2 linked regions of the Mytilus edulis genome follow. The protein of the gene in region 1 purifies or fractionates together with the protein of each later gene. This does not show direct contact. Links are inferred from orthologs where the notes say so. Each region holds a gene or a part of one and is shown on either strand. Other genes may lie near its edges.

Region 1 (7,384 bases):
CAAAATCGTCATTATTGAACTTGACCTCTATTTTGTCATCAGTAACAACATATTAAAATTAGTGAAGCCTTTGGTAGAACAGTTCATGTGTAAATGCACGGACACGACTGGAAACTTCATTTTTCAATCTTTCAAGAACCATAACTCCTGAACGGTAAAAGTCAAAATCGCCATTATTGAACTTGACCTCCAATTTGACATCAGTAACAACATATTAAAATTTGGGAAGCTTTGGTAGAACAGTTCATGCGTAAATGCACGGACACGACTGGAAACTCCATTTTTCAATCTTTCAAGAACCATAACTCCTGAACGGTAAAAGTCAAAATCGCCATTATTGAACTTGACCTTCATTTAGTTGTCAGTAACAACATATTAAAATTTTAAAAGCTTTGGTTGAACGGTTCATGAGTTTATGCATGGACAACATTTGATTGTCGCCCGCCTGCCCACCGTACAAAGGCGTACATCCCCAATTCAATAACCGACATTTTTGTCACAAAAATCTGGTTAAAAATTCCCAACTGTATCTTGTATATCTTTTTAAAGTCTGTGGTTTAAAATCTCTCCATTTCTATTAAATAAGAAATAAATGCAATTATAATTGAAAAATCTGCAAATTTTTCTTTCAAAATAAAATCTGAAATATTTTTTTTGTTTCTTATTTTTTATTTCCAGTTTTGTTTAATTTTGATTTAAAACATTTGGAACATATTCTATAATCAAAGTATTCTTCATAGCGTACCATTTCCCAGACATGGAGTCCAACATTCAATCCAAAGTAGGCAAATGTCACCATAATTCCTACTTTGAATTTATTTATGAGTATGTTTACTAATCCTGCTTGGAAGATGTATGTGTTGAAAAACAACAGAAAAACTACTATCACAGCAAATATAATACAAACATCCTGTATTCTGAAAAATAAAATAAAACTACTAAGACTCTAAATTCAATATTTTCTTAAACATGTTTGACATCTTTTATACTTATACATTTGTCTTTTTATTTATCTCTGTAAACATATGATTTTAAATACAACTGTGTACTTTTGGAATGTTTCATTACTGATGACTACAATTTATTTGTACCTTTATGATCAAAGGGTCAACATGTATGTCAATTCAACAAATTCACCCAAAACAGAAGAATGTGTCTGAATGGACAGACAGGACAAACGGGACATAAAAGAAAATGACCCCTCTCCCAATTTTTGTTGTTGAAAAAACAGCAATTCTGAGAGGGATTTTGAGCCTTACTTTATCTGACCTGTGTACATGTTGTATAATTCTTGACTAACATTATAATAGACAATTATGGCCTGTTAAAAAGGTGAATATATATATCCAAAATTGTCAACTCGAAAGGTTATTTCAATGAGGGCACAGCCCGAAGTGAAATATCTTTTAAGGGTTGACAATTTTGGATATTCATCGATTCTAAGGGGCCACAATTGTTGTATTATCCCGAACTAGCAGTGGAAAGGCCTTTCAACAAGCTGACGTTTGAAAATATATTTGTGTTCTAGAATTTATACAACAAATGTAGAATCTTTTTGTAAATATTGATGGTCCTAAAAAGGCGATCGTTAGGTGCTGGCAATCTATTCATGTCCAATGCTTTATTTCCTCGTCTGTCTGTGGGATTCCAGTGTAACGTGAACTCTGCCATTTTGTTTATTTACGTCTGTGTAATCATTTTCATGGGAGATAATTCAAGTACAAATCAAGAAACTCAAAAGGTGATTAAATAGTCCTTCTTGCGATTGAATGAAAAATAACTGAATTATTCCATGTCACATGATAATGTTTCACCCAATACTATAGAATTGTTTAAAATATATGTAAGGTATAATAATGTAATATATAATCAAGATATTTGAAAATGAAAATTTTATAGAGGAGGCATGAGAAAATAGCATTATCATAAATACTAATAATTTTTATCTTTTATCAATGCAACATGTTTGTATTGTTTTCTGTCTAATGTTTTGTTATTTATATGTTTGTTTGTTTGTTTATTTAGTTACCACCCTATTGTTTGGATATAAGAATAATAAAAATCTTGTTCTTATAATTCTTATAATATGAATATTATATGAATATAAATCAATACAGAAAAATGAATATTCTTGAAACATATTGATTTTCAAAAATTTCTAAAATACTCCCTCTCTGCAATTTCTCTCTAATAATCCTGTTTCCTTTCATAAACTTACACAAACAAAACTAGCAAGATGACATTCTCAAATCTCAGCATTTCTATAAATGAGTTCATAACAATATCTATAAGCAACAAGAAATACTGCAGATACAGTATAGGGCGATATCTTTCAACCTGCATGGTGATTGGTTGGCTTTTCCTCTCTCAAAATGAATAGGTTATAGTCTTGACCAGTTCATTGTTATATATGCTTCTTGAGTTCTTTCCTGCAAAAAATAATGTATGTAAATCAAAATAATTTAGAGCAATGATTTAGAGGAACTGATTAACATATCAAGCAATACATGTACATTTGTAGGACGTAGGTAGACTAGCAAACAACAAGTTGAACAGTGAGCTAAGAGCATGATACCACACTATATTTATTGGTAAAAAGGATGTTAATGAGTGATGATTTTGTAAATGAAACACACAGTAAAGCATGCTGACATGTGGTTTGATTTCATAGTGTCTTGGTTTGTTATGCCATTGAAAAATGCAATGCAATTACTCCTCATAAAATTTGAAAAATAAATTCCTCACAAAAATTTATCGTTTTCCAGTATTTCACACGAATTTGATCATGATAAGCTGTAAATGTAAAAAAAGTATCATTGATGTTGTGATCCAGTCAATTGTTAAGCTAGTTTTCTGACTATAGTACTAGTATACAAAGGGCTGCTGGATCATCAAAAATATTTTGAGGCTCACGGTACAGTAGCATCATATCAGCCTAGGGAGAAAACTTTCCTTGTGAGCCCAAGTTAATATGAGTGGGTCGTCTTTGCCCGGAATAGTGTACCTTACATTATCCATGAACTAGTGTATTGCCTATTGAATTCTAGTAAAATCGGCACTTGGTTAAATCGGCACCTGGTCAATTCGGCACCCAGTATAGTCAAATTGGCACCTGGTTAAATTGGCATTGATATAGTCAATTCGGAACCTTAGATTTGTTTAATATATATTTTTAACAGTATTTTAAGCAAAAACAGTAAAAATAAGGAATGGGTTGTCCAGAAATTTTACAGTATTTACCCAAGAAGAGGTAGATAAGGTAGGGGTTGGCCAGAAATATTAACCTAATTTTATCATGTTTATTCACATTTTTAAGGGTTGAATTTTATTCATGTTATTTCTATATATTAGTGAATGCCTAATTGACTTTAAATAGGTGCCGATTTAACCAGGTGCCGATTTGACCTGGTGCCGATTTTGACTTGTACCCTTGCCTATTGGGGGGTCAACTTAATATCACCTAGTCCGGAATCGTAATTCTCATGCTCTGCAAATTGTCAAAAAGACCTACATGTAAGACTAAGAGCTACACTAGTCTGCACTACAGGTAAATGTAAAATGCACTCCATCTAACAGTTTTAATGTAGTAATAAATAACTTGCAATGAATAAATACTCTACTACAACGTAACATATACATCAAAGGCAAAACATTATAAAACTTTAAAAAGTGAAATATTACAATTTATATGAGCGCAAAGTTACATATCCGCAAATACTCAAAAATAATATCTACAAAATGCAAGTATATCATATTAAACATGTTAAATAAAATAAATAAATTCATTAATAATAAATGGAAGAAACCAAACAATTTGGAATCACACTTAAAAATCTAACAAGAATCACACCCATGACCTTTCGCAATGTAGCAATCAGTCGTAAGTAGTAGACCACAAACCAACACTGAAAGTACCTTTCAGCTTCCAAATCTGTTTGTTGTTGATCATATTTTTTTAATTATTTTTTTTCTAATTCAAATTTCTAGCAGAAGACTGCAGTGTCGGTACTACTACTAGCAATTTGTCTTTCTTTTTTTAATGAACATGAATTATATGTGTCTGTTAAAGAGATACAACTACAGTGTACAAATATGTGAGATATGCTGTGTTAAAATTACATTTTAGCTCACAAATGGAACATGTTCTTGTTCGTCCATTTTTGTTTACAGTGACTACGTAGTATCGCATAACTTCGCAAAGTCTCGTTTCTTTCATTTGCTTCTTTTCCCATTACTTACCATTTAAAAATATAAAGAATAGTATTTTCACATCATTTTAATCTGTTGGAATTCATGTTAAACATGGGTAACAATATAAACCTTACAAAATCAAGGAAAATGTGCAGGTAAAAAATGTCACATGATTCATACAACGAGATCCAAGATGGAAGACACTACGCGGGAAGAAAAGAAATGTCAAACCAAAACACGATTTCTTTAAATTTGTAACTTAGATAGAGCTTTGTAAGAATTTAATGACACAATTTGAAAAACTATAGATTTGATACATGTAAACGTCGTGAAATTATGTGGAAATCAAAGGCACTTAGACATGAACCTCTGGTTTTTCTTTATCTTTCTGACTTTGTTTTTGTTTATTTATTGTAATAAATTTATATACAAACTTTTTATTGAAGGAATCTGTATCATTCATGTCTCCAAATGACCCCTTTCCTGCTTCCCCCATGGTAGATACTTTAAAGGTCGTAGTCGCACCGTTGTGCACCCATATCGGTAGTTCTCTTCTATATAGATATCTTCATATTTCCGCACTCAGTCACAACTTTGACTATTACGTGCTGTATCACCACCAAACACCACCACACACCGCCGAACACCACCGAAAATCCCAAAAGTTTATTATTTTGTCTTTTAACGTTATAAATGTGACTTTATTATAACTTTCAAGTTATTAATTCAGCAAATCAGAAGATTAAGAGTCCAAATATCTATAGAAAACAGAAAGGGAGAGTCTATAACACCCCACTTTTTGAACTCCGCAGACCCCTATGGACACCTCAAATATTTGTTTTTCCATTTTTTTCTTCGTCTATCTCTTCTATAAAATAGTTGTACCAACAATAAGAGTATATGTACCGGTATTACATTTATGATCTAACCGAGAACAGAGATCGAAGATACTTCAACTGATTACTAATTACGAACATGATGAATATATTTGAATTTTATTATTTTAACAGTCAGGGGACTTACTTAAACAAGTGATTTTCTAAATCACTGATTCAAGTAACATTATTTCCATAAAGGTTGGAAGTTAGAGTTGTCTTTCTTTAATAATCACCTATTTAAGTAGTACAAATAAATCACTAGAAGAAGTGATTTAATATTAGTGTAGCTTTAAATATAGAATACTAATGATCCAGGGACTAATTATGTTTCTAAACTTATCAGAACCAACATCTGTGTTGTCTAGGATGACCAGGTCATTTCAGGTGATGACCTTGTACTGAATCTAGGATAATGACATAAAAATCACTTGTTTAAGTATCAGACCTTAATTTCCTTCCCAAAAATCACTTCTTTAAGTATCATTCTTTTAATAACCCCCACTAATTTCAACACCCCCGAACAGTGAAATTTTTATCGCGAACAGTAGAATTTTATTACATAATCTGAAAGATGAAACCTTGAACTTCACAGGAAAAATACTCCCACTGCTGTGAAAAATCTTTGAAGAAAGTATCAGTTCATTATGTAAAGCCATTATTATAGCATTTTTTCAACTAAAATAGAATTTTCAGGTAAATGATAGCATCAAAGGCATAAAACTTGCTACTTAAAAGAAGCAAAAAGTTCATATTTTTTAATTTTACTAATTAAAAGATGTTATTTAAACCTATGTGTTTAAAATTTTGAAAAAACTACAAAATCCCAATTTGTGACAAAACCTCGAATTTGCTACTCAAATAAGTGATTTAAAAATCACTTATTTCAGTAAGTCCCCTGACTGTTTAATAACACACACAATGTTATGTGGAAAGTTATGAATCTGGAGATGTTTTTTTTCTTCTCATATTGGTAATCGATTTTAACATAAAATAATGCCAATAAAATTCTAAAAATTGTTTAATTATACGTAATTTAATTTGTTTTATTGTATAGTATCACAGTTTTTCTTAGTGGTTGGTGGTTTTTGGAGTGTTTGGCGGCGTTCAGTGGTGTGCGGTGGTGTTCGGTGGTGTAACATTTTTATTTAAATCAACGAATCCTGAAGTGGATTGTTCTTTTTAATCTATGAATTTATTTGTATTGCATGTACTGAACATAGATTAATTGTAGAAGATCTACTTGCTTGCAACAAACCTATCACTGATATGAGTTCCCTTGCCTGTCTATCATACCCTCTTTTCCCAGTGGCATTTTTATACCCCCGCTTTGAAAAAAGGGGGGTATACTGTTTTACCTCTGTCTGTCCTTCCGTCAGTCCGTCTGTCCCATGAATATTTTTCGTCGCATTTTTCTCAGGAACTACAATATAAGGATTTCTGAAATTTTGTTTCAAGGTTTATATAAGTATGCTATACCGTGTGATGCATTTTCAGATTCATCACTCAACAACTTCCTGTTTACCGAACACTTGTACTATTTTACACATGATAACCAAGTCGAAAATTTTCGTCACATTTTTCTCAGGAACTACAATACAAGGATTTCTGAAATTTGGTTTCAGGATTTATACAAGTCAGCTATACCGTGTGATGCGTTTTCAGATTCATCACTCGACAACTTCCTGTTTACCGAACACATGTATTATTTTACACATGATAACCAAGTTGAAAATTTCCGTCACATTTTTCTCAGGAACTACAATACAAGGATTTCTGAAAATTTGTTTCAAGGTTTATATAAGTATGCTATACCGTGTGATGCGTTTTCAGATTCATCACTCAACAACTTCCTGTTTACCGAACACTTGTACCATTTTACACATGATAACCAAGTTGAAAATTTCCGTCACATTTTTCTCAGGAACTACAATACAAGGATTTCTGAAATTTGGTTCACGATTTATACAATTCAGCTATACCGTTTGATGCGTTTTCAGATTCATCACTCAACAACTTCCTGTTTACCGAACACTTGCATATTTTTACACTATTAAAATTATCCACTTGCGGTGGGGGTATCATCAGTGAGCAGTAGCTCACAGTTTCACTTGTTATTTTTATTATTTCCTATTTGCAAAACCAAAATACTGCATATCTTTGTTCATTAACCATATAGAGTGTTGTAAGAAAATAATCTAAAATCCCTAAAATTTATTGAGCAAAATTGTTTACACATGTACCATACTTTATCATGTTTTTAATAGTTGCCAGCCTTTAGTGATGAGAAATTAATTGTGTTATTTTTATCTTGCAGT
Region 2 (7,135 bases), on another chromosome or scaffold:
TACTTACAAAGCAATCATTCATTCTTTCACGTAACACCCGCACCCATGTAAAAACTTTACTGTCCAAATTTCAAATACACCTCTAGCCTACTTTGGGCTTTCCACTTCTAAAGGTAAACAACATATTTTTGTTACGTCCTGTTTTGCTTTCACTTCGTGTACAATTAGGTAGAAATATCTAGAGAACTTCCGAACGAACAGAGACGTCTGCTTTAGGGACCGTTTCAAAACACCGAGTATGCAGTATCCATCCAGGAATTGCATATTTAAATATACAATTCCTTTAAATAATTATACTCAAAATTATTAATTGCAAAACCCGTAAGAGAACATCTTGGATAACAGTTAAAAACCATCCATCCAGTTTCCGTAGGCCTAACCATACCAGATATATCAGAAATGAGTACACACAAAAAAAAACACAAAAAAACCTACCAGATACCATTACATGACAGAGGAAAATAGGGAAAATGGAAGAATTAAAGCAACAAAACCATCCTCCCCTCATTATTAGATATGTCAAAGAATCATCTTAATAAGTTTGAAAGGAAAGTGAGTCATCAGACAAGATGTGAAATCTGATTCCAGAAAAAGGTCGCGAACGGTATTATAAAAACAAAATACCTTATAAAACAACAAAGAGTATATGTGGATAACTGCGGCTAAATACTGAATTGTAACAACTTATAAAAAAGGGGGGATACTATGTGGTTATAAAAAAGAAGTCGAACACATCTTTCTATATCTATATATAAGCATTTTATCATAAAAAAAAAATCGAACTAAAATGCCCAAAAGGAGAGAGCTAGTATACAACAACTATTTTTTTTCACAAATGACATATGAACAGCAATTACGAACAATAAAATTACCAATTTTAACTGAAATCGCATGTCATCGTTTCTCACTTTTTTTTGCGATATTTTCATTTAATTTGGAAAATGGGGTGACACGCGGAACATTGATATTTACAGTTAATCAGAAAATCAGAAAATAGAAAATAAAAAATAGCAAAATAAGCAAATAAATGAAAGGAAATATGATTGAGCTCTATCCTTACCGGTAAGTATTAAGAGACGTATCCAATTATTTTTAGAACTAGAGAAAATTCAACAACAAGAGACCACAAATATATATAACTTGTACAAGACACACTCAAGACTTCAAATCAGACAAATATTCATACACACAAAGAGCTATTGAAACCTGTAACAACATACCATCCTCAGTTACTCGCACTTTTTATCAGATTATTTGAATGGTGGTTAGATAAGTCCTGAGAAACCAACCACGAAAATAAGACTATATACCCATGCAATTATTATGTATCATAACACGACCGGATACCATCGTCAAGCTGTATTTTATTTTAGAACCAGTTAATAAGTTATTCTCAGAAATTATAAGTGATTCCCATCTTCGAGGACGTGACATTATATAATCAATATTAACATCAAGACCGGACACGACCTTAATGTGTACAAATTTCAGACCGTCGAGGAGCTACATAAAAAATAAATTTTATTGATAATTAAGAACAGCTAACAATACTTTGATATGAATTATAAACAAAAACAAATGAAAGACGTCGAAAGACAAACTAGTTCACAAAACACTACATAGAAAAGTAAAGAAACTGGAACAATGCAAATGAGAAAAGAAAAAAAAACTGCTTGATATATTTTATTTTCGTTTAATTTTTGCACGTTTCAGACCAGGTCCCTAATATGTATTGGCAGCACAAACAAAACAAAAACTGTCAAATATCGTTTTATACAGGCTTCTAGTAAGTATTGTTTCTGCTTTGAATAAAAATTATATACTTACTATTTACCACAAAAACTACACTACACATGCATGCACAGAAACGACTGTCATTGTCTTTTTCTTGATTTAAATTACAGTTTCACACGTGAAACCATATACTTTACTTTTTACAAGAGACCCCTTTTCGTTCCCTATTGTTGATATCTTTTTTTTTATTGGGATGTTCCTCTTGAACCTTCGTACAGTGTGTATTTCTTTTCTGTCGACACGTTTGCGAAGTACGTTTTTTTCAATGATAAGCATATATTCTAAGTTAAAGCATTTTTAAAACTCCTGAGAAACAGACAAACCAGAGTGTTGGAAGCATGTGTATATTTGGCCGGTTGTTGGTCTCTTTGACCTATTTCCCAAAACAATTCAATCTGAAAAAAAACCCGGGCCACGGTCGAATGGGGAAAAGGGGGGGGGGGGGCAATTCCTTTTTATGTTAACTTGGCCAGTTTTGGTCTTTTTATGCCCCACCTACGATAGTAGAGGGGCATTATGTTTTCTGGTCTGTGCGTCCGTTCGTCCGTCCGTCCGTTCGTCCGTCTGTCCCGCTCCAGGTTAAAGTTTTTGGTCAAGGTAGTTTTTGATGAAGTTGAAGTCCAATCGACTTCAAACTTAGTACACATGTTCCCTATGATATGATCTTTCTAATTTTAATGCCAAATTAGAGTTTTTACCCCAATTTCACGGTCCACTGAACATGGAAAATGATAGTGCGAGTGGGGCATTCGTGTACTGAGGACACATTCTTGTTCAAGGCTGTGTTGTAAACTGTTATCTGAGATAAATTTAAACTGTTAAGCGTTTTCAACCCACTGTGTTAACTGTTATCGGCACTTTTGCATTTGTTGTTAACTGTTTTTCTCAAAATCGAGGTGTTGTTACAGGGGCGGATCCAGCAACTATATGTCCCCATCAAATGCATTGATCGTCCAAAAAAAAGGGATTCCAACCACCGGACCCCTCCCCCTGGATCCGCGCCTAAGTTAACATGTTAATGGATCCCATATTGCCCCCTCTATCTAATCTATATAAAAAGCAAGAAACGAGAAACAGTAAGTACCACATCAACAAACGACTACCAATGAACAATATGTAGATTCCTGCAATCGGATTTAGGACAGATACAAACAAATTCAGCGGGTTTAAACGTTTTTAAAAGCGCGAAACCTCACCCAACCTACAAAAAGTATGTATGTATGTATGTATGTATGTATGTATGTATGTATGTATGTATGTATGTATGTATGTATGTATGTATGTATGTATGTATGTATGTATGTATGTATGTATGTATGTATGTATGTATGTATGTATGTATGTATGTATGTATGTATGTATGTATGTATGTATGTATGTATGTATGTATGTATGTATGTATGTATGTATGTATGTATGTATGTATGTATGTATGTATGTATGTATGTATGTATGTATGTATGTATGTATGTATGTATGTATGTATGTATGTATGTATGTATGTATGTATGTATGTATGTATGTATGTATGTATGTATGTATGTATGTATGTATGTATGTATGTATGTACTGAGATTCCGCCAATTAAGACGCACCCCTTGATTGACTGCAAGGGTACAGCGGATCCATGTACACTCCCTAAGGATTAATGGAGATGTGTCCTTTACAATATTATCCCACCAGAACAATCCCCACCCAACACCGCCCAAGGGAGCGTGTAGGACACCGGGAAGTCTGTTATTATGATGGAGGAAGCCGAAGTACTCGGAGAGAACCACCGGGCCGCTCGGTGGAAACAGACAAACCAGAGAGATATCAGAAGATTGATCTCCAGGTCAAAGTAGGGAACAACTTTGACCAACCGAGGCCCCCAAAGTACCCATTCTAGTTTAAACTCCGGTCTGGGTACCAGAGATGTGTGTGAGAGGGTGAAAATTACCCTTCTGATGTACTGATATTTTTAGCACCCCGAGTGAGAATCGAACTCGGGACCTTCAGCACTGTAGCCATCGGTCTTAAAACCACTAGACCACGAACTCACATATAGAAATGTTCCTTTATATGAATACGGTTCATTTTGTATTTTGAGACCACCCCTTCACAATTTTTTCGGATAGTTTCGTATCATTATTTTGCTCACAATTTTCTATGATTCGTTGCTCATTTAAAAAGATTATTTTAAACAAATTTGGTGAAATTAAAATTTTCCTTTTTCTTTCTTTTCATTCGAAAATACAAAATAACTTTACATTTCATGCGCATTGCCCGTAGCGCGGCAAAACAATCCTCTTGCAAATGGTCAATATCTGGCACTTTTTGTGCTATGGATAGGAGGGGCACAAATGAAACTGAGACATTATTGTTACAGAAACTTTGTTGTAAAATAACAGGCCTTCCTGAGGGTAAATAAACATGTTCAGTGTTATCTTCAAAAGGTCTGGCATCAAACATCCTCAGACATGCACCAAATATTTTGTTATTGCATGAATGTGTGTCCACATTTTTGTCGTTATTGAAACTGTATTGATATAAATATATCGATAATATAAGGCAGGTGTTTAATATTTGTGAAAGAGTATTAGTATTTGATCGTGATTTTTGCAACATTAAAAATGCATTCAAATGTATGTTGATCCCTCAATTAATAATGAATTTATCTGAACACCCTCTTTATAGATCTGCAAGGGTACAGACTACAGTTCGTAGGTCCTTGTGATAATCATACTCCATGCAACGAAGTTGTGAAGGGTATAATGTTTTTGACCAGTCTGTCTGTCAGTCACCGACTCGGTCTGTCAGTCCTGTTTCTTGTCATTGCAACTCCTCTAAAACCACACATCAGAAATTCAGAATTTCTTGAAACCTTTTTAGATAATACATGTCATACATTTGTAAGTGTAAAGCAAAATATTGTCCTATGAAATATTGTACAAGACAATATTTCATAACTATGTATCATGAAATATTGTCCTCGTCTATGGAAAAATGTCCAGAGAAGGACAAATTTGCATAGTGAAATCCAGTGTTCCAGCTAGGTTTTCAAAAGGGCAGGGTGCCAATCCTGAAAAAGGGCATTTAACGCGCGATATCATAATATGAAAAGGGCATATTTTAATAAAAGATGTTAATCAAACATTTGTGTTTATTCGTTGAATCACAGGTTATACAAGAACAACATCTTTAGCCCATATAGAACTCTATCTTTCTACTTTTAAGGCTGAAAAACTTGTCAAGCAGCTTGTCACACAAGTTTTTTTTATCATTGCTTGGCACAGTTGAACTTTATATGCAGTATGTTTTGAAAGGAGATCTGTTTCATACTGTTTCTATGGTCTACCACATTTGACCAGTTTCACCTTTCTACCCCTGCTGTGCTTGATGGCAATACAGCACAAAACAGCTGTGCTCAGTAAATTCACAATTTAAGGATATAAAGCAACAGTGAAAAATAGTATCAAAAATAAAGAATACAGAAAAAGATGACCAAGGCACCCTACCAACACTGCTGCTAAGACCCTCTTTAACTTTTCCCATAACTCAAAATAAATACCTAAACATATATATTCTTAAGCAAGAAGTATGGAGACACATTTTAGAATATGTAAATGGGTTACTCAATGCTAGGAAAAAAATCAGATTGAGTTATCTTTCTTTATTCGGGTGTGCTCCTTCTTTGGAGGATTATAAACAGTACGTAAATATGATGTAAATATGATCACAATATGGCGGCCGATTTTGATATTTTCGTATCAAAAATGAAGGCAGTCAATGACAAATACGTCTGAATTTTCTGTTTATTTTACAGAAAACAAGTAAAACAATGTCTTCAACGAGTTTATAATGGTTTTCCAACTTTCTGTCATTACGTTTCTTCCATGAAACTACGGTAAACATCGCAAATTGTGCCCAAGTTGTTGTATGCACATTTCTTCAAAGATAATTGCCGACTGACCGATTCTATTTGAACGAATTAATCTTGATGATCATTAATGACCCATCCGATAAACGGATTACCTATAACAACAGATTATGACACCAGTTGTAACCATTGATTAGCTTGGGGTGGTAAACAAAGTCATAATCTTTTCCCCAGGTAAAATTTAGTAATTAGCGTAGCCCATCATATCAATATCAATGTGTGAATTAATACAATATTTCATAGATAAATACTACGAAATTGTGTCCTGTTAATGGGAGGTTATATATATTTTGGTTATATTTTATGAGTATTGAGACAATATTTCATAGACAGATTGTCATTAAATTTTGTCTCATGAAAGGGAGGTTATCAACATATATTTATGTTAGAGAAGGTAAATAGGATTTTTTTCTGCGACACATACCTGTGTTTATATTTACAAAATAAGCGATTGTCAGTACATAACTTATATTTGTACAGTTTAATGTAATAAAATGAAACTTTTGTTAGACAATACTTTAATCTATAATTAACCATTTGTAATGTACATGTATCTATGCAAATTTGAAACTCACTATTAACAATCATATAAATTCTCTACTATACAAAACAATTTCGGTTATAAATCTAAAAATGTGCATGCTCAATGTGAACTATTTCTAATTGTGAAATAATTTGATTAAAAAATATTTTCAAAGCCAGTATTTCATAGTGAAGTATTGTCATGAACAGAATTTCATAGTGAAATATTGTCCCGAAGGAGGTGACAAAATGTCATGGATAAGGACACTATTTCATAATGAAATATTGTGTCCAAGACAATATTTCATTATGAAATACTGTCAGTGGACAATATTTTATATGAAAATTTGTCCGACAGACAATATATCATGGAGGACAATATTTTATGTTACATAAGGACATAATAAGTAGATGTGCATATTGACAGGAAATTATGATTCAATTTTTTGCTAGGAGTTACACCCCTTTGAACTTATTTGCTTCAATATACTACACCAGTTTGTCATCGCAACTCTTCTGAAACCACTCAACAGAATTTCATGAAATCTTTTTAGATAATAAGGACATACTATATAGATGTGCATATCGACAGGAAATTACGATTAATTGTTTTCTAGGAGTTATGCCCCTTTGAATTTATTTGCTTCAATATACTACTGCAACAGTTTGTCATCGCAACTCCTCTGAAACCATGCAACAGAATTTCATGAAACTTTGTAGATAATAAGGACATACTATGTAGAAGGTAGGTCTTTCCACCACTGAACACCCCAGGATTTTTTTCTCTTTATCTTGTATCATTATAAATGTTACCTAAATATTATTTTTAAGTTATTAATTCAACAAATATTAAAAATAAGAGTACAAATATCTACATCGAACAGAAAAGGAGAGTCTATT

The links. The genes of interacting proteins can lie anywhere in the genome.
Region 2: the proteins of gamma-tubulin complex component 2-like (region 1) and gamma-tubulin complex component 3 homolog fractionate together in Drosophila melanogaster (co-fractionation; 3 studies listed by BioGRID). This does not show direct contact. The link is inferred for Mytilus edulis from reciprocal best matches to the Drosophila melanogaster genes Grip84 and Grip91.

Annotation. Positions count from the first base shown.
Region 1 is NC_092353.1:16,591,153-16,598,536, forward strand, and holds the start of gamma-tubulin complex component 2-like, read left to right. Parts: upstream 1-4,364; 5' UTR 4,365-4,464; intron 4,465-7,383; 5' UTR 7,384-7,384. Other genes in the region: transmembrane protein 138-like, read right to left, coding at 746-917, 2,219-2,343.
Region 2 is NC_092346.1:89,142,793-89,149,927, forward strand, and holds the start of gamma-tubulin complex component 3 homolog, read left to right. Parts: upstream 1-4,041; 5' UTR 4,042-4,048; coding exon 4,049-4,196; intron 4,197-7,135. Other genes in the region: phospholipid-transporting ATPase IF-like, read right to left, coding at 8-22.